Astyanax mexicanus: one gene and its partners. The protein of the gene in region 4 interacts with the protein of the main gene of each other region in a pairwise test. Links are inferred from orthologs where the notes say so. Each region holds a gene or a part of one and is shown on either strand. Other genes may lie near its edges.

Region 1 (7,810 bases), on a different chromosome or scaffold from region 4:
GAGGCAAGCCGATTTAGTCCTTACTAAGATTTTACTAATAAAAACTCTAATTGCAGGTCTCTGTATTGATGTAGGTCATTAGTGGAAACTCTAATTTCAGATATGATTCAGAAATAATTACTTGTAATAATGTCAGGTCTACAGTGATATAAAATCATTCTGAATAGATGTAATTCCAAAAGCACACATCCTTAACATAATTCTATAAATCCCTTACTACTGACCATTGAGATATAATTTTTCTTTTTTAGTAGTAGATATTTTAATTTTGGATATCTCCACTGTAATTCTGACAAGTTAAATGTCCAGTTCCACATATTAATAAATTAGTGTTGATTCCTATAAATCATAATTCAAGATATGCAGTTAGGAGTAGTAGGGTTGGGTGATATGGCCAACATCTATATTTGAAGAACACACTAATTGCAACAAAATAAATATTAACATTTATTTGGCGATAATATTGCATATGATATATTATGGCACACTCCTAAATGAGAAGTGAATTCTACACATAGCAAAAAAGTTGTACCCTAATCGCCCTAAAATTATATGACATGCGATAATGATTATTGCATACGAAATTATATGATTATATCTACAGTTTGAGTTTTGACTAGTCATGATAACGGTACAATATTTTTAAATAATATGTAACAATAAGAATTACTTTATCTAGAACTAGAATTACTTACTAGATGTCTAGAACTACAATTTCTAAAAATAAAAAAGTGCAAATATCTTATTTTTTTTTATAGTTAAGTGTGTTAAACTTTATGGAAATCAGTGATAACATCGAAATTACATTAAAAATGTGCTCTATGGCTTTATAAAGCTTTAGATCTGATACTTTTTACTAGTAAAGGTGCCATAGCTGATAACTTAAACTAATATTTCCTCCAGTAAAAGCTGCATTACAGTGACCTTGTTTTACCTGTAAACACTGAGATAGCCAGGACTTGTAACCCATCACTGGTGTCAAAATTCACCTGATAATGACAATGACCTCAGAAAACAGTGTACCTACCTATTACAATAATTCAAGATTCCGCTAATATAAAGTTCTAATGAGCATTTCTGATAGTTTTAGATAGAAAACAATATAATGTTTGATATCTACAATATTTAACTGTGTACTAACACAAATGTAATTGCAGAGATCTGTAATTAAAGTTTTTACTAGTAAACTGTACTTTAAAATGCATGCAGATCAGTGGTAACATGACAGAATTACATTAAAATTATGCTCTATGTCTGTATAAAGCTTTAGATCTGATAGTATTACTAGTAAATGTGTCATAACATTTATTCTGCATTACAGTGTCCTTGTTTTCACCAGTAAACATGGAATTGGGTATCTAGGCATTCTCTCTCTGGTGTCATTTTAGGCAAATCTGCGTGTTGTAAGTACCTAAATCCCACAAACATGTTTAATTTAAAGAAAAATACATCTAATAATGACAATGACCAACTCATACCTCAAGATATCTCTAATATTTAATTCTGATGAGCCTTTTGGATAGTTTTAGATCAAAAATAAATGTATCAATAACTATAGTTTTCACTAGTAAAAATGTACTTAGAGATAGTTAATATTAAAGCAGATCAGTGGTAACATGACAAAATTACATGAAAAAATATGTGCTTTACAGATTTATAAAGCTCTATATCTGATATTATTACTAGTAAAGGTACCATAGCAGTTGTTCTGCATCACAGTGACCATGTTTTTACCAGTAAAAACTGAGTTGGGTAGCTACGCACTTCGACTCTGATGTCATTTTAGGTTAAAAAATGCTTAATTTAAAGAAAAATACACCAGACAATGACAATGACCTTGAAAAACAGATTCCCTATTCATCATAACTCAATATATCTTTAAAACGTAGTTCTAACAGTTTTAGATAGCAAATAGCATATTTTTGGATATCTACAATGTTGAACAGTTACTACGAACACAAAAGTAATTCTGTCTGTAACTACAGATTTGACAAGTAAATGTATACTTTAAAATGCAAATAATATACATTTACTATACGTAACTATATTAGTTTTTACAGGTAAAAATGTACTTATAGTTAAAAGCATGCAGATCAGCATTAACATGACAAAATTATACCATGTCTGTATAAAGCTTTAGATCTGATATTATTACTAGCTAAGGTACCATAGCATTTATTCTGTATTACAGTGACCTTGTTTTCACCAGTCAATACTGAGTTGAGTAAGTTAGCTAGATCTCTAGGGTCATTTTAGGTTGAAACTGCTCGTCATAAGTGCCTTAACCGCACAAACATGCTTAATTTAAAGGAAAGTAAGACCAGAACTTCGATAAACATGTAATCCACCCACCTATATAATCAGCTACAATACAAGAAGCTTCACTTCTGAGGCTGCAGCTGCTCAGCGGATTTCCCCAGTCCACCTTAAATTCCCCAGCAATAACAGGGCGGCGCACGTGAAGGTGCCTGTCTGTATCAGCAGTAGGATTTAAGGTGGAACGGAAGATTCGACTACGCATCAAACTTAGCTTGGTTTAACGTTACTTATCCAGGTCAAACAATAACTGTCACTTATCTAAGCGAGGACACCGCGCTGTGAACAGATAAATAATTATGTAGTGTTATATCCTGCTGTAGAAGGGCTTTGTACTTGTTTTTCTGAAAGTCTCGAGCAGTTAAGCTTTATAATAAATATAAAACAGAGCGGAACTCGCTAGTGTTAGCAGCACTAGCTCGCTATGCTAACGGAGGATTAGCGCCCCAGACAGCAGCGCTGTTAGCTAACAGGCTTAAAGTGCGCAGACACACACAGCCCGGTTAGTTTCACAGCTCAGAAAAGCGCGCAGTGTTTAACAGCCACCGACCTTCTTGTGGTAGCAGCACACCGCCTTCGCCTCCGTGCCCGTCAGAGTTCTGCCAAACAGCCCAAAGGACGAGAAGCACTTCCCCACCGACGACAGCGCCATGTCTCCACTGCCGACTCTCCGACTCCACACAGACACTGATAATAACAGCCGCTGTGAAGGACAGACAGCAGGGGGCGCTGTTAGACCTGGGTGTATCTCAAATTCCAGACATGCTGACTTGATGCATTGCTGCCTACACTAGCTCCCTCAGAAGGCAGTATGTTGATGAAGGATGTGTCTCCGATTTTAAAAGCAGCATTAAAGTATTCTATAGAGTATAAATTACAGAGTACAGAGTATAAAGTATAGAGTATACATTATATAATATAGAGTATAAAGTAGAGTATAGAGTACAGAGTTTAGAGTACAGAGTATAAGTTATAAATATAAATAGAGTATAAAGTATTAAGTACAGAGTATAGAGTACAGAATGTAGAGTATAGAGGACAGAGTATAGAATATAGAGTAGGGTTGCCACCTTTCCCGAATTAAAACAGGGGAAAACAAGTGCCTGTGGAATCAAAAAAAAAAAAAAAATGGGACGGGTGGCAATCTTAGTATAGGCAGCCTACTGCTAGAAATAAGTGTTTATCTGGGTTATTATTAGTTGTTAGCAATTTCAGCCACTAAAAAATACTAGTGTTGTAGTACTCCAGTCTGTCCTTGATCTCAAGACCATAAACCAGATTTGGAATTGTTTTTGTCTTACTTTCAGGAGAGATGGACTCAGAGACCCAGAAATTCCAATGTGTCTCTCCTAGGTAATGCTTATTCGAAACCAAAAATACAAACCCACACAATCAATGTTAAAAAGGACAATAACCCAGTGTTATTTTCTGACATTTTTTTTAATGTGATAAGCTAATGGTGCAGACTGCAACCACTGTCAACTCCTCAAACCAGAGCGAATAGGGTTAGCTGTGGTGCTATTGGTGGGTCTGTTTGTTTATATTAAAGGTGAGGTGCTAGACTAATACCGTATGTATGTTTATCAGATAATTAATGTTTCAGAATAATAGAGATATGATGAGACAACTTATGCCCCAGTCCTAATATGTCCTGTGTGTGGCAAGTTAATCAGCCATGTATACAGTTGCAAGAAAAAGTATGTGAACCCTTTGAGATCACTTGGATTTCTAAATTAATTAATTATCAAATGTGTTGTGATCTTTATCTAAGTCACAGCAATAGACAAACACAGTCTGCCTAAACTAATACTACACAAACAATATATGTTTGCATGGTTTTATTGAAAACAACATGTTAACATTCACAGTGCAGGGTGAAAAAAGTATGTGAACCTTTGGATTTAATAAATGGTTGATCCGCCTTTGGCAGCAAAAACCTAAAAAAAACGTTTCCTGTAGCTGCAGATCAGACCTGCAGTCAGGAGGAATTCCTCTTTACAAAACTGTTTCAGTTCAGCTATAATATTCTTGGGATATCTGGTGTGAATCGCTCTCTTGAGGCCATGATGCCACAGCATCTCAATTGGGTTCAGGAGGACAGGACTCTCCAGAAGGCGGATTTTCTTCTGTTGAAGCCGTTCAGTTGTTGATTTAATTCGGTTTTGGGTCGTTGTCCTGTTGCATCATCCATCCTCTGTTGAGCTTCAGTTGGAGGATAGATCTTAAGTTTTCCTGCAAAATGTATTGGAAAACTTGGGAATTCATTTTTTTGTTGATGACGGCAATCCGTCCAGGCCCTGAAGCAGCAAAGCAGCCCCAAAACATAATACCCCCTCCACCATGTTTCACAGTTGGGATGAGGTTTTGATGATGGTGTGTTGTGCATTTTTATACACATAGCGCTGTGTGTTCCTTCCAAACAACTCAGTTTTGGTTTCATCTGTCCACAGTTTATTTAGCCAGTACTGCTGTGTAGAACATCCAGGTGCTCAATTGCAAACTTCAAACGTGCAGTATTGTTTTTTTGGACAGCAGTGGCTTCCTCTGTGGTGTCCTGTTTTCTTTATTGTAGATCTGTCAACAGAAATGTTAGCATGTGCCAGAGATTTCAGAGAGTCTTTAGCTGACACTCTAAGATTCTTCCTCACCTCATTGATCATTCTGCGCTGTGCTCTTGCAGTCATCTTTACAGGACAAACACGCCTAGAGAGAGTAGCAACAGTGCTGAACTTTTTCCATTTGTAGAGCGTTTGTATTACCGTGGAAACATAAACATCAAGGCTTTTAGAGATAATTTAGTGACCCTTTCGAGCTTCATGCAAGTCATCAATTCTTGAACGTAGGTCTTTTGAGAGCTCTTTTGTGTGAAGCATGATTCACATCAAGCAATACTTCTTAAGAGCAGCACACTCTAAACTGGCATTGGTTTTTATAGGACAGGTCATCTTTAACCAACACATCCAATCTCATCACATCCTGCCTCCAATTAGCTCTTAGAAAAGTCATTAGCCTAGGGGTTCACATACTTTGTCCCTCCCTCACTGTGAATGTTAACATGTTGTGTTAAAAAAACATGCAAACATATATTTATGTGTATGGTATTGGTTTAAGCAGACTGTGTTTGTCTATTGTTCTGATTTAGATGAAGAACAGAACACATTTAATGACCAATTTATGCAGAGATCCAAGTAATCCCAAAGGGTTCACATACTTTTTCTTGCAACTATATATTAATATTGGATTGCTTTACCAAAGAAAAAAGAAGGTACAGGTGAGAAAAGTAAAGTGAAATGATGGGATTTTACTGTCCAGTGTGAGCAGAGGTCTGAAAAATACATTCTGAGTTCTGAGGAACTTTCCACTTTTAGCTATTTAAATTAGACCAGGTAATAGAGAATGTGGGAGGAATGTTTGATAACAGTTTTACAGGTTTACCTACTTATATGATAAAAAAATACTTAAAATGAAAGTAACATACCCGTCCTAAATACATAATAGTTTGTTTGTCTCCTGTAAACTCTGCTTAACTTCATTTACAGTCCAGTTTATTTTTTTTAGGGGAAAAAGAGCAGCGAGGCTGAACAACAAGGTAGTAATGCTCTGCTAATGTTGCTGCTGTTAAAGATTTTCACATATACAATAGAATAAGCAAATGGTGCCCTGTAACTGCAGGACTATTTACAATGTAACAGCTTTATTCACACATCATTATTAGTTAGGTCTGGTATATATTTTAATCAGCTTTTCTCAAATTTGCTGGATGGATTTCTATTCAAAGTCCATTCCATTTGAGGAATTTATTTTCAAGAGATGGTAAAATGGCTATTTCACTGTGGTTTTAGAAATACAGCCATGCCAGAATTAGTTCATGAAGTAAAAAACACTTTTTCTTCTGTCGTCCTGCAGGCAAAACTACTAATCCCAAACATCAGTGAACTTATGGCCAATTTCCTGATTTCTTTTTTTCTCTATTTTGCTGTATATATCTGTTAGTTTGTGTAGCGAAAACAGTTGAAATGTATTTGTACATGTCATTTTCCAACCTTGCATCTTCTACAACTAAGTCTCAGATTGTGCTACTTGGTCTTTAAGACTGATATATGCAAATTGTTCTTTTCTGATTGGCTGGTCTGTATGGCGCCTAATTCCTGGGCTGTTTATTTATTTTTATTTGGTTATTTCAACAGGAAGAATCAGAAACCGCACAGAATTGGTTGACATAAAAAGGAAAAAATAAAATAAAAACATCCATGAGGGTACAGTTATGCAAAGCGTCCTGCCCACAGTTCTTACAGTCATTCTATTTGTGTATCCTAAACTAAAAAACATAAAATTGTGAAAAAAAAAATCTGGCAAACAGTTTCTTTAAATATATGAGCAGAAGTGGTTAAACATTTAGATGGTTGACATGTGACCCTGACTTCACGCTAATGCCATGTAATTGTAGAAACAAACAATGGGTCTATTCTGGCATTACTCCTTTAAAGTATATTTGTCAGATACATATTCATACATGAAAAAAACTGAATAATATATAAAGTAAATAGAACATATAAAACAACAAAAAAAGATAAAGTGTATATGTCATATTCCGCCAAATCTGTGACATTTCTTTCCCCAGGAAATTACATGTATAAATGTGCACAGGAAAAACTTTACTTTAAAATACATTTTATTATTGAGCATAATGTCTTGTACACTGACCAAATTCCTTCAGAGATGTAATAAATATGCTTTAATTTTTTTTCCACAATAGATTCATTATATTTAAGTTAAAATACACATTTTAGTTGTGTGCCTGAGTTACCGTAACACATTACCCCATCTGAAACATCTGGAACATTCTACAATTCACATCTACAACATGAAGTGACATCAGTTGGTTCATCTGAAGACCATGGGAAGACAAAAATTAATATTTTTTGTGTATTTGATCTTATTGTAACTATTGACTGAGGGGGCCACTCTCAACACTCTGTCCTGTAATCTAAATTAATTCTTAAATCTTATTTATTTTTAAAATACAATTTTTGGGAAAATCACTCAATGTGCTCAATTTCCTCATGCTTTTTTCATGTTTTTGCAAATTCTATGCTAAAAGCTCATTCTTCTTAATTTTATACCTGTTGTTAAAAACACAAAAAGTAACAGGAGTGATTTTTTTTGTCATAAATATCAATTATTAGACATGCAGTCAACCATTTCTTTAAAATAAAAACTTTCTTGAGAGGAAATGAAAGGAAACAGTGGACTTGCTTTTAAACATGCATTTTAAGCTTACATGAGTTTTGTAACCACCATTTACAAGCTTAGACATATGTGTTATTAGATTCATAGTTGAAAAAGGATAAAAAAACTAAGTTTAATTTGGAAGAGTTACAACAAGCAAATTGCAGCCATTGGGTGGAATAGCGCAATATCAAGTTAAAATGTTCAACAAACTGCTGTCAGAAACAAATAATTAAAAATAAATTTCTTTTTCTCCTCCGCTTGG
Region 2 (7,215 bases), on a different chromosome or scaffold from region 4:
ATGATTCTAGACCGGGTCGTAACAATATGAGACATTCACAGAAATCTAAATATTTTATGATCTTCTTCAGGGGTTTTAAAAAGGTTTAATATATTTGTGCTTTCTATTCGTTGACAAATGAGAACAAACCTCTGTGACTAAACAAAAACTTCCTTTTTTTTTTTTATTATTCCACCAAAAAACTGAAATGTCTTAGTACATGTAATATTTTAGACATTTATTGTTGTGACATTTTGTGACAAATTGTGTGATCTATCTGTCTACATTTTAAACTAAATATTGCTCTGTTTAGCTATGAATCGTGTCAAGTCTTTATGTATTTTTAAAAACATGTGGCATTACTGTACATATCCTCTACTCTGTGTTTAGGATGGTTTAGGAAGCCAGACAGTCTGGAAAGTCAATCAAGCCTTCTTTTCCAGTGTGCTGAGGACAAGCCCCTTCCATGTCATGACATATCCATATGTGGATTTTTAAAGATAATTTAGTTTAAGTGGCATTTTGGGCTAAATTTGGAGAAACAACTGGTCATATTAGTTGTGCTAAGCTTTTAAATTGTATTTGTTTGACATGTTTATCGCAAAAAGCTAAAATCTTGTACATTTAGCTAATAAGCCTATAATTTGCAATGGATGTTGTATAATGTTGATTACAACTGTATGTTACAGATGCAGCAGATGGAGATTAGGTTAAGAACTGCTGAAGTATTTCTTTAAAGAACTATTTGTGTAGCTCTGAAAGAAAGCTCTTTAGTGGAATCAGTCCAAAAAACCCATGAGACCTATAGCATAGACATTCTACTGTCTAATGTCTCATATATTTGGCTCACATTTGTTATTTATTTGCCAATGTCTCTATTCTCTAAGAACCAATTTTGTTCTATTTATCATGCATTTATGTCTCTCTCACGCTCTCTCTCTTCTCTCTCTCTCTCTAGTTCTGTTTCTCAGCTGTTTTCGGAGTTACCGTAAGCAGGTCACTGCTGGGGGCTGTTCTGGTCAGGCTTCAGAGACAGAATCTCCCACATGCTCGTAAAACTTTGTCTCTGAGAGGGGTACGGTGCCACTTTTCACTGCATGCACTGATTCATAAAACCACAGATGTTTTCTCATCACGGCTCGTGTACCAAACTCATGATGTAATGTGGTACACATTTTTGTTGTTTTTTGCTTTTTTCCTAAAAAACAAAAAGACATTTTCATTAGCTTGATGGAAGTTCCTGGATCAGAGCATACATGTGTAAAACGGCTGACAAAATCCAAACACAATTTCTCATTTTACAATTGTTGCTTTATATTCTACAGCAAGGACACACAGTGTTGCTGATGCAAAGCAGCAAAAAATGATAAGACCACTCAGAGTGCCCCCTAGTGGAGCATGTGCAACCTGTTAAACATGAGCGAGTCAGTGAGAAAGTGAGTGAATTAGAAGCCTACCAAGATAGCAATGAACGTCTGACTGTTGACATCTGTTTCCATTGCTTGTGACATTATTAGCTGAAGCCAAGAAAACATTGTATCCACAAGAAATATGCTGAGGCCTTAAGATAGCAATAAGCATTGCGACGTGTCTTGCGCAGAGAGTTCATAAACTAAAAGTAAGGTCCACTTTAAAATTGGGGTTATCTAACCCCCATGCTTACGGTTTTCTCCATGCCTACAGTACTGTCAACACTAGCTAAAAAGTAATAAACCTTAATGAAAATATTAGCTCTCTGGACTATAAATGATGCTGTTTTTTTCTGTGTTAGTCTGCCGTTAAATCAGCAAGTATCTCAATCAACTTGCATTTCAAATTTGGAACCTGTATAATGCAATATGTGAAACTAAACCAAACCATAGATCAACAATTCTAATCTTTTTTTTAAGACATTTTAAGTTTTTTTTAGGGTCCACATACATCCTGTTCACATAAGATACGAAGCCAGCTAACTGCTAAAGTAACTTGCCATTAAAAAAAAAAGTTCCTGATTTAAGAATGGCTGGAACTTCTGACAGACATTCTCTTGAGTACAAAGTATGCGAAACAGTCATCTTTGCAAAACATATGGCAACTATAAAGTTCTGCTCATAAACATTTGCATGGCATTTTCCTGATGAGCTGAAGAGAGGAACTGATTATGTTCAGGACTGTGGAGACACCAGCAGAGAAGATGAATAGAAGACAGGATGGAATTCATTCATGGATGAGTTCCAAGGTATAGGTCAGGACACATCCTTGAGTAATATGAAGAAACTTATAGTCAGTTTTCTACATGATCTGGCACTAATAAACAGGATAGGAAACAGATATGTGCAAGGGTGAAAGGTCACAGTACATAAAAAGGATATGATCAAGGCAGTTTGGTGAGCTCGCCAAACAAAGCTGCAATAAGGAGGTAACAATTAAATGAAGATATACTTTGGTTTAGGAAATGGAAAATGAGGGACAGGACTTGGAAAAACTAAATTAAAGGGTAGTGTACTAAAATAAAGGGAGGTCTGACTTGTGGCTTGGCTTGTGGAGAGACAGAAGGCTTTGAGATTTGGCAGATGATATTGTTTTGTTACCGATAAGCAGAAGGAGAAAAACAGAAGGGTTTATTGATATGGACAATTCTCTTATCACTGTAGCAGTAAAAACTCATTGGTTTATGATGTTATGCTGGGAGTTATTTTACAAAATGGGCTAGTTCTGGCCCCTAGAGGACACCTTAGGTATAGTCAGGGATGAAACCAGTATATTTCTGTAGTTTACCAGTGAGGAGGAATGTAGGGCTTGCAGGGTGGCAGGAGTGTATTTATACATAACTTTTTACTGGGACCCAGTTAGGCTTCCCCATATGGGCCTTATCATTACAGCCCACCTTAATCAAACATGGGTCCCATCTGGGCCTCATGTGCAGAGTTCATTCTACAAGAGTTCATGTTTAACCCCTCCTCATTTCATCACTGGCCCTGATGGAGCCCATTACTGACATCCATATGTGGGACCAACGTGGAACCCATTTGCTCTTTTCATGCAGCCGCCATTTTTAATTGAAAGTGAGGCTTTGATGGGAGGAAGTAGAAGTAAGTCCACACTCAACAATGGTGTGGACCACATATCTTCAGCTATAACCACGTTTAACCATGAACCATCTAGAAAAAGGGCTGAAGAGGGATGTTTATTAACAAGAGCAGGATACAGCAACTGCATAGAGGGGTACATCACTAATATCGTAAAGTGTTAAGGTTTTAGCCAACATTAGCTAACCTTGCTAATGCTAGCTAGCTGGGGCTAGCCCGACTCTCCAAGTCCGGTGAAAAGTGCTGCTAATGCTGCTAGCCCAACTCTAAAAAGCCTAGTGAACATTATGTAACTACATAAATATATAATTCTGGAAACCTTAGTTCTTTAAACATTTTTCTAAAGCATTAGCAGCAATGTTGACAAGTTATAGCTAGCTAACCTAGGTTTAATTTATAACATGCTAACCTAACTTTAATTTATAACTTATAACTAGCTAACCTAGCTTTAATATATGTTATAACTAGCTAACCTAGCTTTATTTATAAATCATAACTAGCGAACCTAACTTTAATTTATGTTATAACTAGCTAACCTAGCTAGGAAAACGTGGGATAATACAGGCAAACACGGGGTCAAACAGGCAAACAAGAGGGTAATATAGGTAAACACAGGGTAATGCAGACAAACACAGGGCAATACAGGCAAACATGGGATAATACAGGCAAACACGAGGTAAAACAGGCAAACATGTTAGTATATATCTTGCATTCTACCTCATTGCGTGCACATATGTTTTTACTGGTACTGGTTTGTACATATGTTTTACTGTGTTTTACATACCACCTTAAATACCCTGTAGGCTCCCTGTGTGCAGTGTAAAACCCAGCTGGGGTTCATGTTTATCCCCTCCTGGTCCTATTATTGGCACTGATGTGGCCCATCACTGTCATTTGAATCTGTGTACAAACAAGATCTGCATGATCATCCAAAACCAAATGCCAGCGTTCACACTTCTTCTCCCATCTGAAAACTCGATGGAGCAAATATCTCGATGTAGATATTGTGGTGAAATCACATATTTTGTTAGATTTAAGCTTTGACTATATGGATTGTGGTGTTAAGCACATCAGAGTGTCTGTTTTTTCAATCAGTCATTTATCTCTTGCATGTCCTCTGGATCTACTGATGCTCTTCTGGCGGCCTCTAGTGGAGAGAGCTGTATCTACAGTCTCGAGCGGTTGGTATGGAGACAGCGGCAGCCTCCTGATCAACAGAGCTCAAACTGAGATTTAATAGTTTCACTGTTTTAGTGAAGCGCTTTATAACAGCGAGCTTTAAACAGATTTATCTTCCTGTGGAGGTGTGTAGCTTTATTGTGTTTTTTTTTTTTTTTTTTACCGTGAAGCAGAAAACCTATTCTGGAGAGACGGTAAGTCGAAGGCACTTATTTAGCGTAACTAAGAAGCAACAATAAATGTAACGTTAACTGTAACTAACCGAGCTAAGTTAGTTAGCTTAGCTAGGTTAGCTAATCACTAGGTTTGGTTTGTTAGCTAGCTAACTATTACTTGTTAGTTAAATAACATAAACTAGTTCATTAAGCTAGTTAGCTATGTTAATTAGCTGAGTTGCCTGTTAAATGAACTTTACCCACACCGCGTTTTTCAACTCAGTTAACGAGAGTAAACAGCTGGGTTGTGTTGTGGGTTGTTTAAGTGTGTGTGAGTGTGTGAATAAATATGACAAATTCTCTAATAGTTTGTCACTGTTTTCCCTAATTGTCAATTTAAAACAAATAAAGGCCATGCAGGTAGTTACCTACACTTGTAAAAGTAAAGTATATTAAGTATATTTTAAAAATATGCTTAACCTGGAAAAGTACATACTTTTCCAAATTAAAATATGTACTTAAATAAATACCAAATGTACTATTTTTGAACAACTTAAGGTAACTTAAGTTAAATATATTTCAGTTGTAATTAAGGTAACGTTATATTTAAGCACAACGTAAAAGCATTAAATTGTGCTTTTGAGTGCTTTTACTTCTGTGAACTAAAGTAGATTGAAGCAACTTAAGTTTTAACACCTTTTTTAATACACTTGAAGTATATTGTAAGTGTACTACTGTGCGTATTGATGCACATAATGTGTACATCTTAATGCTACTGGAAAAAATACACTAAAGTGCTCTTTAAGCAGTATTCAATGCCATTATATATATATATATATATATATATATATATATATATATATATATATATATATATATATATATATATATATATAATTTTTTTTTTTTTTTACTTATTTACTTATATTTATATATCTATTCCTCCCCCACACCACTGCACCTTGTTTTTGTCTCATGTATGTCTATTTGTGTCCCTGCTGTATTGTACACATAGTGTCTCCCATTTTCCTTTATTATATCTATTATCTGTACTTGCTGTAAAATTGGGAAGGAGAGTAACGTCATTTCAATTCTCTGTATGTCCTGTACATATGCAGTATTGACAATAAAACTACTTGACTTGACTTGATATATATATATATATATATTTTTCAATCAACACATCATTTAAAGCATTGCTTAAAAATACATTTTATGTAAATACAGAGAAAGTATATTTAATATATATTTTTTATAAAGTATTTGAAATTGAAAATGCACTTTTAGTATTTTTTACCCAATTTGAACATACTTTATTGCTCTTAAGTATACTTACTTGCACAAGGGTGCAAGTAGCTAAGCTAAGAGCGTAGGTAAACTAGTTAGTAAGAAAACTATTTTAACTACTTTAATGGAAAGAGACACTTTTGCCTTCTTTAACTGTATTGAAAAAGTATTTAATGGAAAATGTTTATTGGAACGAGTGTCCAATACTTTCAGTATTGGACACTCGTTCCAATAAACATTTTCCATTAAATACTTTTTCAATACATTTAAAGAAGGCAAAATATCAAATGATGCTATGAAATGTGGAACCAGGCAGTAACTAGAATATTTAAATCTGACTGGTAACCTATATATTAAGTAGTTTTTTTTATACTTTTGTAATGATTGCTGTATTTATTTTATAGAATCTTCATAGCTTAAAACATGTGTGCTTATTATCCTTGGTGTGCTATCAACAAATGTTTTAGGTTTGTTTGTTTGTTTAGATTGATTCGTATTATTTTTTTCCTGTACATTTTAGTTACATTGAAACCATTAAAACATTAAACAACAAAAAAAAGAGCTGAGCGCTCCACTAGCTATCAAAATATAGATCAAGATAAGAGAATAAAAAAAACAACAACATATTCTTAGAATAATTTCCTTTTTTCTCAGAGTGGGTTGAATCAGAAACAATAACAAATGCACCTTTTTTCCACTATTTAATGAGACATTGCTGCTGCTGCTGTACCAACAATGTTTACTCTTTTCTTTTTTTGTACTCACAACACTTTACACATGCATATGCACTTTACTCACACAACGTATTTTTTAATTTAATAGTGTTTTTCTTTAATTAGCTTTACTGTTATTTGTACTTCAATGTGTATTTAACTAAGCAAATGATCTGGGGGTTCTGCAGTTGGTCAGGTTTAGGTTCAGCAACAGTATGTGCTGAAAGAATGAGGTCAACTGACTACCTGAATAAACTGAATATAGACCAGGTTATTCCATCAATTTATTTCTTCCCTGATGAACACGGGCATATTCCAAGATGAAATATGCCAGTATTAACGGGGCTGGATTTGTGAAAGAGTGGTTCAGGGAGCATGAGATAATACTCAGACCCTCCCATCATCAATGCAAGATCTTGGTGAAAAATGAATGCAACACTGGATTGAAATAAATCTTGTGACATTGCAGAAGCTTATTGAAACAATGCTACAGCGAATGTGTGTCGCAATCAAAGCTAAAGGCGTTCCAACCAAATTTTTGCCCAGGCAGTGTACTGCAAGGAACTGCAACGTAAGAATTGTATTTATCAGCGTAACTGCTTGTTTCTGCTGTGCATATGACAGTAAAACTCTTGAATCTTGAATGTAGAGAGAATCTATATAAGAGGCAGCCAGCTGTCTATAATCAGTAAGGGTCAGTAAACTGCGAATGACTTTCCCCATGTGCTTGTTTATGCAGATCATGCGTCGACCAGAAGGCGGCAGTGCTGGAGAGGATGAGGGGGCGAGTGAGCCAGAAGTACCTATCCAAGCATTTGCTCCAGAGGCTGATTT
Region 3 (7,529 bases), on a different chromosome or scaffold from region 4:
AACCACTTAGCAACAGCGCAGCAACCACCAGAAACAGCACGGAAACTGTCTAACAACTTCATAGCAATCAACAGGGATACCATATAAACCACAACAACCCTCTAGCTCTCTACAAACCACATAGCAACCAACTTTAAATTACTCAAAATGTGTAGATACTCTTACTCCACCTCTTATCCTACCTATAACCCCGCCTCTTGTTAGAGAATTTACATTTCTAAATTATTACTGCCACCACAAAGAGGAAATTAAGCTGGATACATGTGCAGACAGATCTTTGTTCACAAGCTTAACACAGTCCAAATAATCAAGCAAAGGCAAGAAAGACAAATAAACACAGGCTTAAGTAATGCTCAGTGCTTAAAATTTAATAAATGGAAACTGAGACTTCGCAACAAGTCTAAAGCTTGAGGCTCTTTTATAGAGAGAATGAATTGCTTTCAAGTAAGGGGGGCAGGGCCGGTGATCAGAATTCTGGTGATGCTGAGTATTTTCATATTTGCACACCGGCAAACCACTAAACTCTGGACCCAAGCAAAAACTTCCCCCTAATCCCACAAACCAACTAAACTACTATACTATATATTTCTAATACTATGGTAAGCCACTACACTCTACTCTACAATATTACACTACTGTATTACTCTACTACTGTGTAGTGTGTACTAATCTACCATACTCTACTATAGTATAATTTACCTTACTACTCTATTATATTCTACTATTTTACTACTGTATTACTCTACTGTAACATTCTTCTTAATTCTTCTGTGCTACTCTACTACTGTACTTTACTGAGCCCTCCTACTCTACTCCTTTATTCTACCCTACTTCTGAACTATGGTACTACTCTAATTTACTGTGCATTATTACATTCTACCCTACCCTACAATACTCTACCATTGTATTATTTCATTATACCATACAACTCTACTAATTTACTACTCTGTTATGCCCTAATACTATGCTACTGTATTATACTACAACCTTAATATATCACCCCACTATCATATAATATCTACCATACTACTCATCTATTATGCACTACTATGCTTATACTCTACTCCTCTACTACTGTATTACTCTACTACTCTATTAATGCCACTACTCTACTGCTGTATAACTCTACTAATGTATCACTCTATTGGTCTACTATGCCCTCCTTCCCTTATACTGCATTACACTACTATTTTTATTATGCCCACTACTGTATGACTTTACTACTGTACTACTCTACTACTGTATTACCCTATCAGTCTCCTACACCCTACTCCCCTATCACTGTATTACTTTACTCCACTATTAAATCCTACCACTACTGAACTACTGTAATATTCTACTATTGCATTAGCCTACTCCTCTATTATGCTAACTACTCTACAACTATATTACTCTACTACTCTACTACTGTATTACCCTATTAGTCTACTATGCCCTATTACTCTTATACTGTACTACTCTACTACTCTTTTACTGCCCACTACTGTTTGACTCTACTACTGTATTATTCTGTTACTCTATTATGCCTACTACTCTACAACGATATAACTCTACTATTCTATTATGCCCACTACTCTAATACTAAATGACTCTACTACTTTATTACCCTATTAGTTTACTATGCCCTACTCCTCTTATACTGTATTAAAAGTAATTTATCATGCCCACTACTGTATGACTTTACTACTGTACTACTCTACTACTGTATTACTCTATCAGTCTCATATGCCCTGCTCCTCTAATACGGTATTACATTACTCCTCTATTAAATCCTACCACTATACTATTGAACTACTTTACTATTCTACTACTTCTACTACCCTACTACTCTATTATGCCCACTACTCTACTACCGTATTACTTTATTAGTCTCATGTGCCCTACTCCTTTATTACTGTATTACTTTACTCTTCTTTTAAATCCTACCACTATATTACTGAACTACTGTACTATTTTACTACTGTAATACCCTATTACTCTATTATTTATGCCCCAATTCTACTGTATTACTGCATTAGTGTACTATAACCTAATCCCCTTATACTGTATTACCCTACTACTCTACAACTATTTTACTCTACTACTGTTTTACCTTACTACTCTACTACTGTATTACCCTATTAGTCTCATATGCCTTACTCCTCTATTACTGCATTACTCTACTACTCTTTTACCGTAATATTCTACTACTGTATTACCCTATTAGTCTCATATGCCATATACTACTGAACTTATGCTGCTGCATTACCCTATTAGTGTACTATGCCCTACTCCTTTTATACTGTATTACTCTACTAATTTATTATGGCCACTACTGTATGACTCTACTACTGTACTATTCTACTACTGTATTAGCCTACTGCTCTATTATGCCTACTACTCTACTGCTGTATTACCCTATTAGTCTACTCTGCCTTACTCCTCTAATACTGTATTTCCCTACTTCTCTATTATGTTCTATTACTGAACTACCGTTCAGCTCTACACTCATTCACGCTCGTGACCGCTGCACCGCTGCGCGAGCAGTCTGCTCTGGACTGGGCGGTGATTTCCCTGTTTACCCCACTGCTGCAGGCACCGCGCGCGCGCACACTCCACCCCACAATACACAAGAAACCTATAAAGAACTAGAACTAAAGACAAAAAAAGCGCTCTGTGTCCACGCGCACTTACGAAGAGCATACAGTTAGTCACGCGCACTAAGCGAGTACAGCGTGGAGTTACTTGTGTGTAATCTTTAAAGTTCTGCAGCCCGCGCGCGTGTGCGCTACAGCGCGAGGCGTGTTGCGTTTATTATTATTATTGTAGGCGAACCGTTATTCCGCAAGTGTGCGTGTGTTTATTTATCCTACCTCACTCCTCGTGCTGTAGATTAGAAAGTCATCTCGCGCTCCTGTATTGCTCTATGAACCTCGTGCAGCTCCACGCGCCCTGTCTCCTCCCCTGGTCTCGCGCTTTTCTTTGTGTGTGTGTGTGTGTGTGTGTACAGGGAAATTCTCGCTCTCTGGGCGGAGAGAGAAACACCCGCAAACTTTCGCAGGAGCCTCGCGCTGCCACTCAGCATCAGTGCGGCTGCGCGCATGCGCCCTGGCCGTGTTTATGGGCCCTCCTCTACAGTTCAGATCTCAGAGAGATTTCAGATTTTTCTTTTGTTTAAACAAAACAAAAAAATAACCAATTTTTTCAGCACCGCTTTTATCTCCTTCACTGCAGAGCAAAACTATACTATTGATAAAGAGCGCCACCTTCTGGTTTTAAAAAGGAAGTTTACTAACCCTTTTTCCATCCTGTATGAATGGTGTTTTCTGTCTGTGATGCACAGAAAAGAAGACTCTAATATTTTACTATATAGAAAATACATCCAATTAACTAAAAAAAATATATACACATCTCTGGAAAAAAGATCACTTAAAAATTATGAGTTTCTTTGATTTTACCAAATTGAAAACCTCTGGAATATAATCTAGAGGAAGATGGATGATCACAATCTATCAAACCAAGCTGAACTGCTTGCCACGGAGAGTGGCATAAAGTTATCCAAAAGCAGTATGTAAGACTGGTGGAGGAGCCAACATGCCAAGATGCAAATAATTGCTCTATTGCTTTATTTTCTGCAAATAAATGCTCTAAATTACAATATTTTTATTTGAAATTTGGGAGAAGCGTTGTCTGTAGTTTACAGAATAAAACAACAATGTTCATTTTACTCAAACATATGCCTATAAATAACAAAATTAGAGAAACTGGTTCAGAAAAGTGGTCTCTTCATTTTTTTTACAGAGCTGTATATTTTATTTACATTGGATTGAAAACCTATGTGTAATATTTTATATTTAATACTGTGCTTTTCATTTCATGAACTATCCCTAAACAGTGGGAAAACGTGATTAAAAAGTGTTCCAAGTCACATAACATTAGTAAAAATTACCTCTTATTTTGCCTCAATGGCTCTAATACTACTGCTTCTCCCAGTGCAGTGGAAGGGCCAAGTTACTATTTCATTGGTTTAAAAACTCAACTCATTCATAGACTGGTTCATAGTCTATACTGATGGACAACAGTTCTCTAATACTGTTATGTGCAACAAAACATTTTAAAATAAAGAAAATACATAATGTCCATTGTAATGGATGCAGGATCTGAAAGGGTTAAATAAGACTTTCTATACCCCCAGTACCTTCAGATACTTATCCACACGCTGCCATGTTGCAATTGTGTCAAGATAAGACTTAACTGATAAACACAAACGAAAAAGATAGGGAAACAGACTACAAAATGCAGACAAACCAAGTCTCCCTGAAGCAGCGGGAGTCTCACGCATTTCGGTAGTGGCTCCCTGATGCCCGCGAGTCACATATAATCTCCCGGAATTCAGAACGATTTAGGGTAACCTCCCTGAAATCAACTTTTGCAACTTGGGATGTCTGAAAATGAATTCTGTGGAAATGTATAATTTCCAGCTGTTGCTGAAAATATCTCTATAATATTTATGGATTTCCACAGAAGTTTGAAGGAATATCCTACCTATTTGTTTGTGCTTGTTGGTTGACTTATTGTGACTTCATTTCAAAATGGGGGCTCCCGGAGGACTACCTCAATGTATAAAAAGTATTATTACCTGTGCATAAAAAGTACCTGTGCACTTTCAATGTGTAAACATAGTGATTTCTTTGCATGGGCAAAGCAATGCCCCTATCACTAGCATTGTAAGCCTGTTGGGAGCATCGTATCATCATCGTAGCATTGAGTGCTGTATTTCAGAATGCTGGGGGACGAATGAAGGTGGGCTATTCAACAAAAGTTCGTACTTGTATCATGTTTTACTATACCTCAAGTCCATTTCATACCGGTTTCCCCTTTTAATCTATTTCAAAAGTGTCAAATCATTGTCATCTAATATAAAAATCGGATTGAGAAGTGTACATCGCAAGTGGGGAAACATCATTTTGGAGAAAGAAATGTGGTCTGAAAAAAATCCTGATTGATCGTTTTCAGTCACTTAAATCACTTAAATATTTGGTGAAAAAAAAAAAAAAAAAAAACAATAATAGAAATTTTCACACATGGATTTCCCACCACAGAGTCCAGACCTGAACCCCATTGAGGATCTTTGGGATGTGCTTGGTCAAGCTGATCAACCAGTTTAAGTAGTTTAATCTGTATAGGTTTATGTTTTTAGCTTATTTTGAACAGACACATTTGGATTATGTATTTATTTTAGGTAAATGTGGATTTATTTTAGAATAAACTTAATATGTATAGGTATGTGTGGGTTTGCATGTGTTTGTGTGTGTGTGTGTGTGTGTCCACACGCGCACACAACACGTTGCACCACACGTGAACTCTTTCGCGCTCAGTGTCTGCGTCATATCCAATGGGGAAATACCTTCAGTTCACAAATTTATGAACAGCCAACACCACCAGAGCGACTGTTGCCATGGCAACAGCTCTGTTGTACACTCTAAGAAATATAAGTACAGATTTGTACTTAAAAGAGTACAAAGCTTGTCGCTGGGGCTGTACCTTATATTGAGGTACAAAAAAGTACCTTTCAGTGAAAGTCCTTTTTTGTACCCATGGTTTTTGTGCCAGTATAGATTATAAAGATTATAAACATTGTCATCAACTAAAAATGGCTCAAAAACTTGATGATACAAAATTGTCTGGCTTTCAAATAAAAAATGTGCAATTTAAATATATACTGTTCATTAGTACAGTGATGCAGAATACTGAATGTACCTTTTGGCTGGTTAAATGGTACAAATCTGTACTTATTGCTGTTAGAAATGACTTTGTACTTCAGAGGGAACAAATCTGACCCTGTAAAGACCAATATTGTACCTTTGAGGGTACAATTATAAAGAATGTACCTTCGAGTACAAAAAAGTACTCATATCGTACCTCTGTTTTTTAGAGTGTATTGAGAGGCCAAGAAGTAACACCATTTTGAAAATACCAATAAAAGTAAACTTACATACATACAACACATAAATGTGAACTGTGTTTCCGTGTGTTTTGCTATTTTTGTGATGACCATATAGTGGTTTATGTATACAAATACTTCTGTTATAAATGATAAACATCAGTTGCTTGGTACCATACATGATAATTCAGCATCAAACTTATTATTTACCAATTATTGTAGTGTGGTGTAAAAGCAGTGATACCATAACCTTGGAACTAAGATCTAAACTTGGAACTTAGTCCAGTTTATTGGTGAACCACAACAGAACAGAACAACTGAGCAATGGTTTGTCTTGTTACAGAAGCTTATTTAAAGTGGGCATTAAATGTAAGTGACCTCAGAAGGTGTGGTAAGCTCAGGGATCTGGCTAATGACCTCTGCGTTTGAGTAAAGGGGAAAGATGACCTCTGCTGAAAATAAAACCCCTCAAACTCTAACTAGAAAGTAATTGAGGTAAATTATGATTCCTAGAAGGCCCACAAGCATGGAAGTCATAATTTTTTGAGAGCAGCTTGTGCCATGCTCAACCCGAAAGCCATGCATTTATACCGGAAGACCCACTTGTGAGTGATAAGGGCAGTGAAATTGTGGCTGTGCAGGTATAATAGCACTTGTTGGAAGCCCTGGCATAGACTAATTTTTGTCCCCAGTTTGAAAGGCCAACAACCCAAACCCAATCCTTAGGACTCTTCCTATGACAACAGTGCCCCCAGCATTTGGAGGGTGAAGACTAGCAAATGACTCCTCTGGCACATGTGAAATCAAATTACATTTACAATTACAATGCTTTCAAACTACAACTGATGCAGCATCAATGGGTAGAAAGGGGGGTAGGAAAGCGCAGTGACCCAGCTCTGATACATTAGCTAACAGTTGCCTGTGCTGACTGACATTATCTGGGGAGTGATGTGGGGAAAGAGAGCCATCTACCCATCCTGATAAAGCAAGGCCAATTTTTCTCTCTCAGACTGAAAAAGGTAGCACAATCTAGAACCTTAGTCCGCTAGACAATTTTGAGCTCAAATTGGAATAAACTGGAACTAAGCGGTGAGCTCCTCTGACATTTGAAGGGGGTACTATTTATTATTTTTCCCCACTCCCAAGTTGAGGCATGCATCTCTTCAGTTATGTTGACTGCTCCATCACAATGCTGTCCCAGAGTGCTATTGGAGAGCGGCCCATGCCATGAATGTTAAGTCAAAGTGAGCCTGCAGTATAAATTTCTGAATAAGTGTAGCCACCCAAGGAGGGTGCTTCTAGTGGTTTGTGAGAGAAGAACCGGTTGTAGGGCACCAGGTTTAGCAGTGAGACTGCAGCACAGGTATCTAGGAGCAGGGGCAATGTGACCTCATCAATAATTAATAAACATGTTTAGAAATGGCAGTTGCCCTGTTCTGATCCTGCCGACAGAGGAGGTTGTTGGGTTTGGGGCTCTGTTAGAGGCAGATTGGCATCCCAATCATGAAAAATCCCACCAGTTCTCAGATCTTGGCCAAAGAGCTGCAAATTACCACAGGGCCAGTGCAGTTATGTGATTAATATATTGTGAAAAGGTAGGGTTAAT
Region 4 (7,741 bases):
TGGCATGTTCTCCTCCACCAGTCTTACACACTGCTTTTGGATAACTTTATTCTTCTCCTGGTGCAAAAATCCAGGGAGTTCAGTTTGGTTTGATGGCTTGTGATCATCCATCTTCCTCCTGATTATATTCCAGAGGTTTTCAATTTAGTAAAATTTAAAGAAGCTTATAATTTTTAAGTGGTCTCTTTTTTCCTGTATATGGTTGTATATGTTTGGTTGTAGATGTAAAGAAAAAATTGATTGTATTAGAATGCAATTTTTATTTTATATTTTACCTTTAATTAAATGCTTGACTGTGACCAAAATAAGGTTCCTGAATTGTGTTTTCTACTGAGACTACATGAATGTACAAGAGGCAGTAGGAGCAGAGGAGGCATCTAAATAAAAAAAAAAAAAAGAACATATTGTCAGACGACTTCCACGACTTCTTGTCTCTTGGACACGGCCAAAGGTTCCATAGGTTGGGACTAGACTGGTTATGGACAGCAAGAACAGAGACAGACGGTGTGTGACTTCATTCTTAGCTTAGTATGCCTTTACTCCACTACAAAAAACCTGCAGATGTTTAAAATGTTTTTTTATTATTATTTAGTATCTTTAAGAAGTTGCCCTCCTCTCGCTGATCACTCCTGCAAGATTCTGATCAGGCTACAGCTGCAGTAACCAGTGCAGCCGCCCACCTGCTTAGTGCCTTCTAAGCTCTGTAGGGGCACTGCAGCGCACCACTGCGCACGCTTCTGAGAAGAGATGGGAAACGGCCTGTAACAGCCGCACTGAGACAGCAGGGGTGGCGTCCCAGGCGCCGCCAAAGACAAGAGATTACGGCTTGTCATAATTACCCGAGCTCAGCTTGGGGAGAAAAAGCATTAAAAAGCTTTTGCTTCCGTTTCCCCCGTACATTACAGGGACATATTTTCAGCACTGCGTTGTTGTCGGGCTAAATGCCTCACTATAGGACCACAAACTGTGTGTATGGGGGGGCTTGTTCTGTGCACCAATTAAATGAAGGGGCCTTTTAGCAGGGAGGACTTAATCACCTCTGGCAAAGGGCAGGACTGGGGGAGCCTTTCAACACCCTTTCAACTGGCAAAGGTCATCTGAGGCCTTTATAGAGGCACGAAGGTAATGAGGGTGTCGCAGGAGTGAGAAAGCAAGTGAGAAAGCACCCCTCCTGAAACAGCGGAAGTACCAGGTTTCCTCTGCATGAAGATCTCACAGAGGAAATCTCAGATTTGTTATGACTCAGATTTGACAACAGAATGTCTACTCTCAATTGTATTACACTGCAGAGACTTATTATTATGAAGAGCTTATTGGCAAAAACAAAGCTATTCTTTTAAACATAACTGTTTTTGCAATTTAACTCTTCACATGGTGCATGGAGCCCAGTAGTTCTGAATTTTGGTCCTAAAGTACCACTGCTCTGCATGGTGAGGTGTTTTCCAAAATAAAACACACCCAGATCACCTCAGGAAGGTTTTGCTTTAAGCTTCAATCAAGGAAAAACATTGAGAGCAACTACAGAACAACCCTATATAAAACAACTACAGTCCTCAAAATCCAACCATGTATAGTTTTAACAGTGATCACTAACCCTGGTTCTGAAGATCTTACAACACCTAATCAGAAAATGTTGGAAACTTATAAAAAATGTTTCTCTAAAAATGTGTTTTTATTTACTTTGACACTATGAACCTAGGATATTTATTTTTTTAGCATACATCCATTCCTGCATTCAGACCTGTAGTACTTGGTAATGTTGTAATGTCTTCTCACTTACAAGAAGAGTATTTCTAAATCTAATCTAATCTAAATTTTGTCCTATTTTTCTTGGAAACATGTCTTAAGGTGTGCAACAGTACAGTATTGTTTTCTCATTTTGTGCTTCAAAAGTCTCCACACTTTCTCTGTTAGGGACAGGTGAGGACTGAGACAGGCCAGTCCAGTACCAATGCCCTCTTCCTCAGAAGCATCACCTGGTAGCTTTTCATTGTCTAGTTGAAAAATGCATGAAGGTCCCTGGAAAATGCATGGTCCTTCTTGGCTTTGGTTTGAAGCTCACAGAGTTGACCTGGAATATTGATTTGTCTGATTAAATACGTGTTTCCACAGTGTGATGGTCCATCCCAGATGTTTTTGAACCCAGAGGAGTTGATCCTGCTTCTGAACATGGTTAACATAACATGCTTTGCTGCTAACTAAGTTCTTTTAATGTTTTTCAGTGCTTCTACATTTTGTAGGTGCATTACACATAGTACTTGACCAGCTGCCCTCTTGGAAATAACGCTGCTACAAATGTTAGTGAACAATTCCACAGTAGAACCACTTCTGGTTTAAGTAAGATTAAAAATGTGTTTTTTTTCTGAAACCAAATGTGTGCTTCTATACTCTTTTTAGAACCATTAATAGCATGAGTGGATCGGATGCAGTGTGATGCAAGGGAAGAGGCAGGGTGAGACCACTGGTTTAAATGATTTCCTGCACCCAGCATGCCTGATGCAGCTCATCATCTAATTATCAAGCCCTTCATGGGGTTGGTCAGTAGTGATTGTGGCAGAGAGTATCTGAAACTGTGCAGGTCAGTGGGTCTCCAGGACTGGAGGTGACAACCTCTGTGCTGAAATTTACAAGAGATGTGTTTTTCTTGCTTCTTTATACTATTTTCTATCTTCTTTTGATGTGAAGGTAAATATTACCTAAATTTAACAGCTATTATAAACTAAAAGTAACAAAATAAAGTCTGTCTAACATTTCTAAATATTAAATACATTACAAAAACAAGGCCAACACTCCCAAAAAAGATTAGTACACATTAAAGGGGGAATGACTACACACTGATGATGCCTGATAGGGGCAAATGAACCTAGTATGGTACCAGGAGCCAAAAGAAAAGATGCAAGTTTTATTGCACAAACACAGTTTGCTGTATTTTATTAAAAGAAAAAATATTCTAGATAATAATCTACTCAATGGCTGCTCACCACTGAGGAAGAGTATAATCTGTTAATGCCTGTCCCCGTTCTCCATCACATCTTTTGAAAAATGTTCAAAGCGAGAGTGTCACCTACTACCACCAGCATTTCTTCTATTACTGTCTCTACTTCATGCCATTAAGGTTGTTTCCTGGACCAAAATAACTTCTGACAAGGTTGTGTAATATTGATGCAGCCTGCTAGGGGTCTGCAATGTCTCCAGGATAGACCTTGGTTGAAACTTGTCAGCCTGTGGACTGGTACAGAATGTTGCTGCTTACATTGAATTAGGAGCATGTTCAACCGTGGGTTAGAATACATTCTAAATCACATGTGAAAAATTTTTATTCTGTAAACAAAAAAAAAAGGTGTCATTTTGTATAGGGCAGTGATACACTAAAACCTGATCAGCATGATTTAGTTAGTTATATGTAAATGTGCATTTTACCTTTTTGCTTATCTCTGAGATATCTACTTTTTGTCTACTTCATTTTTTACATATCTGCAGATACAATTTTGTCTCGGCAGATAAGACCATAGGTTCTCCAGAGACAATTACTCCTCCATTATTCAGCTGCCCATTGTTGCATTCCTGCTCACACTGTGGGCTGTGAGGCTAATGTTCAGGTCACGGATGTGTCCCTGGAGACACACTCATTAGACTCTTTGGAAATTTGCTTATACAGCAAATGCAGCGGCACTGGACAAACTTGTTTTCACAAATGATTACAGTGTGTTACTCAAAGTCGAGTTCAGGCTGATTAAATATACTTTTACTGCTGCTGGTACTTGGTATGAATAAAAAGCTACACAAAAGCTTCACATATGGCTTGATGAAATCAGTATCAAATTATAGTTTGGAGATTTTATTACTGCTACAGTAAACAAGTACAGGATCATAAAAAACATATGACCAAAAGAGATCTTGTCAAACAGAACTTTGTGTGTCATTGTCTGTATTTAACAGCTGGTATGGTGAAGCAAACCCTGTAGGTTCCAGTTTACCCAACCGAACACATTTATAATTTATAATCAAGGAATTGATGTATATGAAGAAGAAATTATACAAAGTTGACCAGACAGAACATAAACACTGTCCCTACTTTTTTGTTTTGGGTTAGTAATTCAACTCCAATACAAATCCATTTCATCCACTGGTGGGACACGTTGTTGTGACAGGAGCACCTAACCAGGTACTTCATCATTTTTCACCTATAGGAGAACCTAATACAGCACTGCATCTCATTTTCTCTGCTGGGAAAAAAAGCATCCTTTGGGACGCTGTGCAGCAGATGTGGGAGTGAAGGTGCTTCATAACGGCACTCAAAGATGGGTTCTCATTGAGACACTTGAAAATTTCTTGATCTAGAGAACTTCTTTTTGGGGGCACCCTAGCAGACACTTTTTGGCCACTTTAGCGAACCACTGGGAACACCTAGGGGGGCAGTTGCCCCTCTGGCCCACCCCCTTAAGTCTGCCAGTGTCTGACTTACAGCTTACAGCAGATCAACCGTGTGCTTCAGAGTCTAGCTAGATCCCTGAGAACTATATACATAATCTACTTCATCCAGTTTAACTAAATCAGAATGAAGTTCTGCTCCGCGCAATCGGGTCTGTTTCAGTACCAGTCATGCAGGCAGGCATCCAAGTGTGCAGGCAGGGCAGCGCAGGGCAGGGTTTGCTCCAGCAGCAGCAGCAACAGCACCTGCACTGAGAGAAGCCTCGCTTCAGAGGGGCAGTAAGTGCGCGTGCCTTGGAGAGGTAGGTGTGTGTGCGCGCGCGCGTGTGTATGTGTTTGGGCATGTGCTGATGTCAGAGGGGAGGAGGGACCGGCCCCCATAGCGCGCAGCATGAACGCGCGGAGGCAAAAGGATGTGTGAGCAGGCAGCGCGCAACTGCAGGGACGTCGTCCACAAGCTGCTCCACAAGGAACAAGGCAAACTCCGCGCGCAGGACAGCGGCGAGCAGCCCAGAGGCGGCGGGCCGCGGGACAGCGAGACAGCGACGGCTGCACCGGCCCAAAACAGCGGCGGAGGAGCCCAGCCCGGGGGAATCGACGGGCTCGTCCGCTGGATAGTCACCAAGATGAGCGACAACAAAAGCATCTCGACGCGGGAGTACGCCAAGGAGGAGGAGGAGGTGGCCGTGGCCCAGGAGCAGTTCTTCGCCCCGGAGCCGCGGAAAGGCATCTCCGTCATTCTGGACGTAAGTGTTTGTTTAGCTGCGTGTTTGTGTTCGCGCCTGTGTGTGTGTGTTAGTGTAAAGTGTGTTAGCGTTTGTGTACGCTGATGTTGAAGGGTTGGCTGGTGCTCGCGCTTAAAGTTTAACTTTGTTTCTGGCAGTAAAATGACTTGCGGAGGAGTTAGGAGGAGGTGTTTCAGCGGTTTGGCTGAGTTTAACGTTACTTAGCTAGATTAGCTAATTAACCGGTGTGGTAACGTTAGCTACACGTCTGGAAAAAAAATAAGAGAATCAGTTTAACTGATTTTGCTATTTATAGGTAACATGTTTGTGTAAAATGAACATTGTTGTTTTGTTCTGTAAACTACAGACAATATTTCTCACAAATTCCAAATATTGTCATTTAGAGCATTTATTTGCAGAAAATAAGAAATGTCTGAAATAACAAAAAAGATGCAGAGCTTTCAGACCTCAAATGATTCATACAGTTTTAAGAGTTCAGAAATCAATATTTGGTGGAATAACCCTGGTTCTTAACCACAGTTTTCATGCATCTTGGCATGTTCTCCACCAGTCTTACACACCGCTTTTGGATAACTTTATGCCACTCCTGGTGCAAAAATTCAAGCAGTTCAGATTGGTTTGACGGCTTGTGATTATCAATCTTACTCTTGATTATCTTCCAGAGGTTTTCAGTTTGGTAAAATCAAAGAAACTCATCATTTTCAGGCGGAATCTTATTTTTTCCAAATCTGTATCTAGCTAGTTACTAGCTAACCTAGTTAGCTAACGTTAGGTTGCATAGCACCCTCTCCGTAACGCCGTTGCCTCGCGCTCAAGTCATTTAATTCAGTGGAGCTCAAAAACGAACACAAACGTTGTGCAACTTTCTGAATTGTAACAGCTGCGTTAAACTGCCTTCACACCCCAACCAACGCCTCTTCTAGTGAGCAGGATTCGTATTCTTTAGATTAATACTCTAAAAAAGTGAAAAATCGGATGTAAATCCGCCTGGAGAGTGAGTACATGTGTACAAACCTTAGCCAGCTAACTTACTAGCGACGCCAACACATTCGTTTTAAGTGGTTATGAGGGTTAAGTCTTTAAATTATTAACCCTCTGTGACATTATTAACACTTCAAGCAACAAACCAAGTTTTTGGTTGATACACTGTAGCTTATTTTTATGTATTTCATTTTAATATAATGTCACAATGAATATATACGCTACGCCAAATACAACGAGACGTACAATGGGTCATAATAAGTATAGAAAATGTTTGGCTGTTTATATTTTTACAATATTCATGCTGTAAACTTACTAAAACAGTGTTTTTTCATTTGTTGAACACATGCCTGCATGTTTTGGTTGATTTCTTGCTCTGAAACACCTGATTCAAATCTAAATTGTATACGTTTGATTACCTATATTCACATGGGCTTTCAACATTCCAAACATCATAGTATTCCTTCCAAAAATATAATTTGTCATTGAGCGTTAAATCATTTTAGAACAGCACAGTAACAGAATAATAGTCTCTCTTAAAATTAGGTCTTGTCTTGTTTATCACGTAATTTCTTGTAACAAATCTGTTTTTGACAGAAACATTACTTAAGGAGGGCTAGGTTCGCTAGCTAACCTGTGATATCTAGTTTGCTAGTTAGTTAGTTAACCTAGTTAGGGAGCCTAGCATCCTCTCTGTAACGCCGCTGCTTCGCGCTAAAGCCATTTAATTCAGTGGAGCTCAGAAACGAACACGAATGTTGGGCAAGATTCTAAAAAGTAACAGCTGCGGTACACTCCTTCACACCACAACCAACGTCTCTTCTAGTGGTTAGGCTTCTTATTCTGTAGCTTAATACAAATATTTTACTGAAATATTAAATATTAAATTTATTGTGAGGGTGCGAAGCTCTCTAGTGTTTAAATTAGACTGCGTAACTGAGATCAGCTGGAGCCGAGGGCGAGCGTCTTCTTTTCCCGCCTCTTCTCAGTTAAGCCCCTCCTTTGGCTAAACTCTTGTGCTGTGATTGGTTCATAGTTCATACTCTATCGATTCACTCGTGGATGTGAACTACTAGCGAATCCCAGCGCCTGGCAGAGATACTACCAGCCAATGCTAGCGCAGGAGGCGGGGCTTGCCCAAATACTGGCGGTTTAAAAGAAATACAACGCGCACGGAAGCAGCCGTGTGAAATCTTTTATAATCTCATATCATCAATATTATTAAGATAGTCTTATAGTATGACTAGCCTACATAGTTTATCTCTTAATTAATTAATCGATTTTCCCGTTGTTTACGCCCCCAATGTATTTTCTCTCACGACCATAACACAGCCTATGTGACAAGCACACCCTGCCTAAATAATTGATTAACTTTTCCTAGTGAAGCCCTGCTGTGCTCAGGCGAGGTCTCAGCTGTATTGATTTAGCAGGTCAAAGTGGTGCCTCACTATCTTCTCAGAGCTCCTGATCATTCATTACCCTACCTGTGTCTTCTGGGGGGAAAAAAAGTTAAAACCCTGCCTGCCAGTGGAGCGAAAAGTAGTTCATTTCCAGACCCAGATACAGGAAAAAAAAAGGTAGTA

What was found.
Region 1: the proteins of necab2 (region 4) and iscu interact in binary tests that used the Homo sapiens proteins (3 or more experiments, as listed by UniProt). The two-hybrid records come from large-scale screens. The link is inferred for Astyanax mexicanus from reciprocal best matches to the Homo sapiens genes NECAB2 and ISCU.
Region 2: the proteins of necab2 (region 4) and ccdc146 interact in binary tests that used the Homo sapiens proteins (3 or more experiments, as listed by UniProt). The two-hybrid records come from large-scale screens. The link is inferred for Astyanax mexicanus from reciprocal best matches to the Homo sapiens genes NECAB2 and CCDC146.
Region 3: the proteins of necab2 (region 4) and nek6 interact in binary tests that used the Homo sapiens proteins (3 or more experiments, as listed by UniProt). The link is inferred for Astyanax mexicanus from reciprocal best matches to the Homo sapiens genes NECAB2 and NEK6.

What each region holds. Positions count from the first base shown.
Region 1 is NC_064429.1:3,638,698-3,646,507, forward strand, and holds the start of iscu (iron-sulfur cluster assembly enzyme ISCU, mitochondrial), read right to left. Parts: upstream 3,024-7,810; 5' UTR 2,969-3,023; coding exon 2,867-2,968; intron 1-2,866.
Region 2 is NC_064409.1:35,913,520-35,920,734, forward strand, and holds the start of ccdc146 (coiled-coil domain-containing protein 146), read left to right. Parts: upstream 1-4,212; 5' UTR 4,213-4,420; intron 4,421-7,120; 5' UTR 7,121-7,123; coding exon 7,124-7,215. UniProt on the Homo sapiens protein: Essential for sperm flagellum biogenesis and male fertility.
Region 3 is NC_064424.1:22,039,652-22,047,180, reverse strand, and holds the start of nek6 (serine/threonine-protein kinase Nek6), read right to left. Parts: upstream 3,015-7,529; 5' UTR 2,853-3,014; intron 1-2,852. UniProt on the Homo sapiens protein: Protein kinase which plays an important role in mitotic cell cycle progression. Required for chromosome segregation at metaphase-anaphase transition, robust mitotic spindle formation and cytokinesis.
Region 4 is NC_064416.1:25,389,379-25,397,119, forward strand, and holds the start of necab2 (N-terminal EF-hand calcium-binding protein 2), read left to right. Parts: upstream 1-4,739; 5' UTR 4,740-4,844; coding exon 4,845-5,177; intron 5,178-7,741. UniProt on the Homo sapiens protein: May act as a signaling scaffold protein that senses intracellular calcium.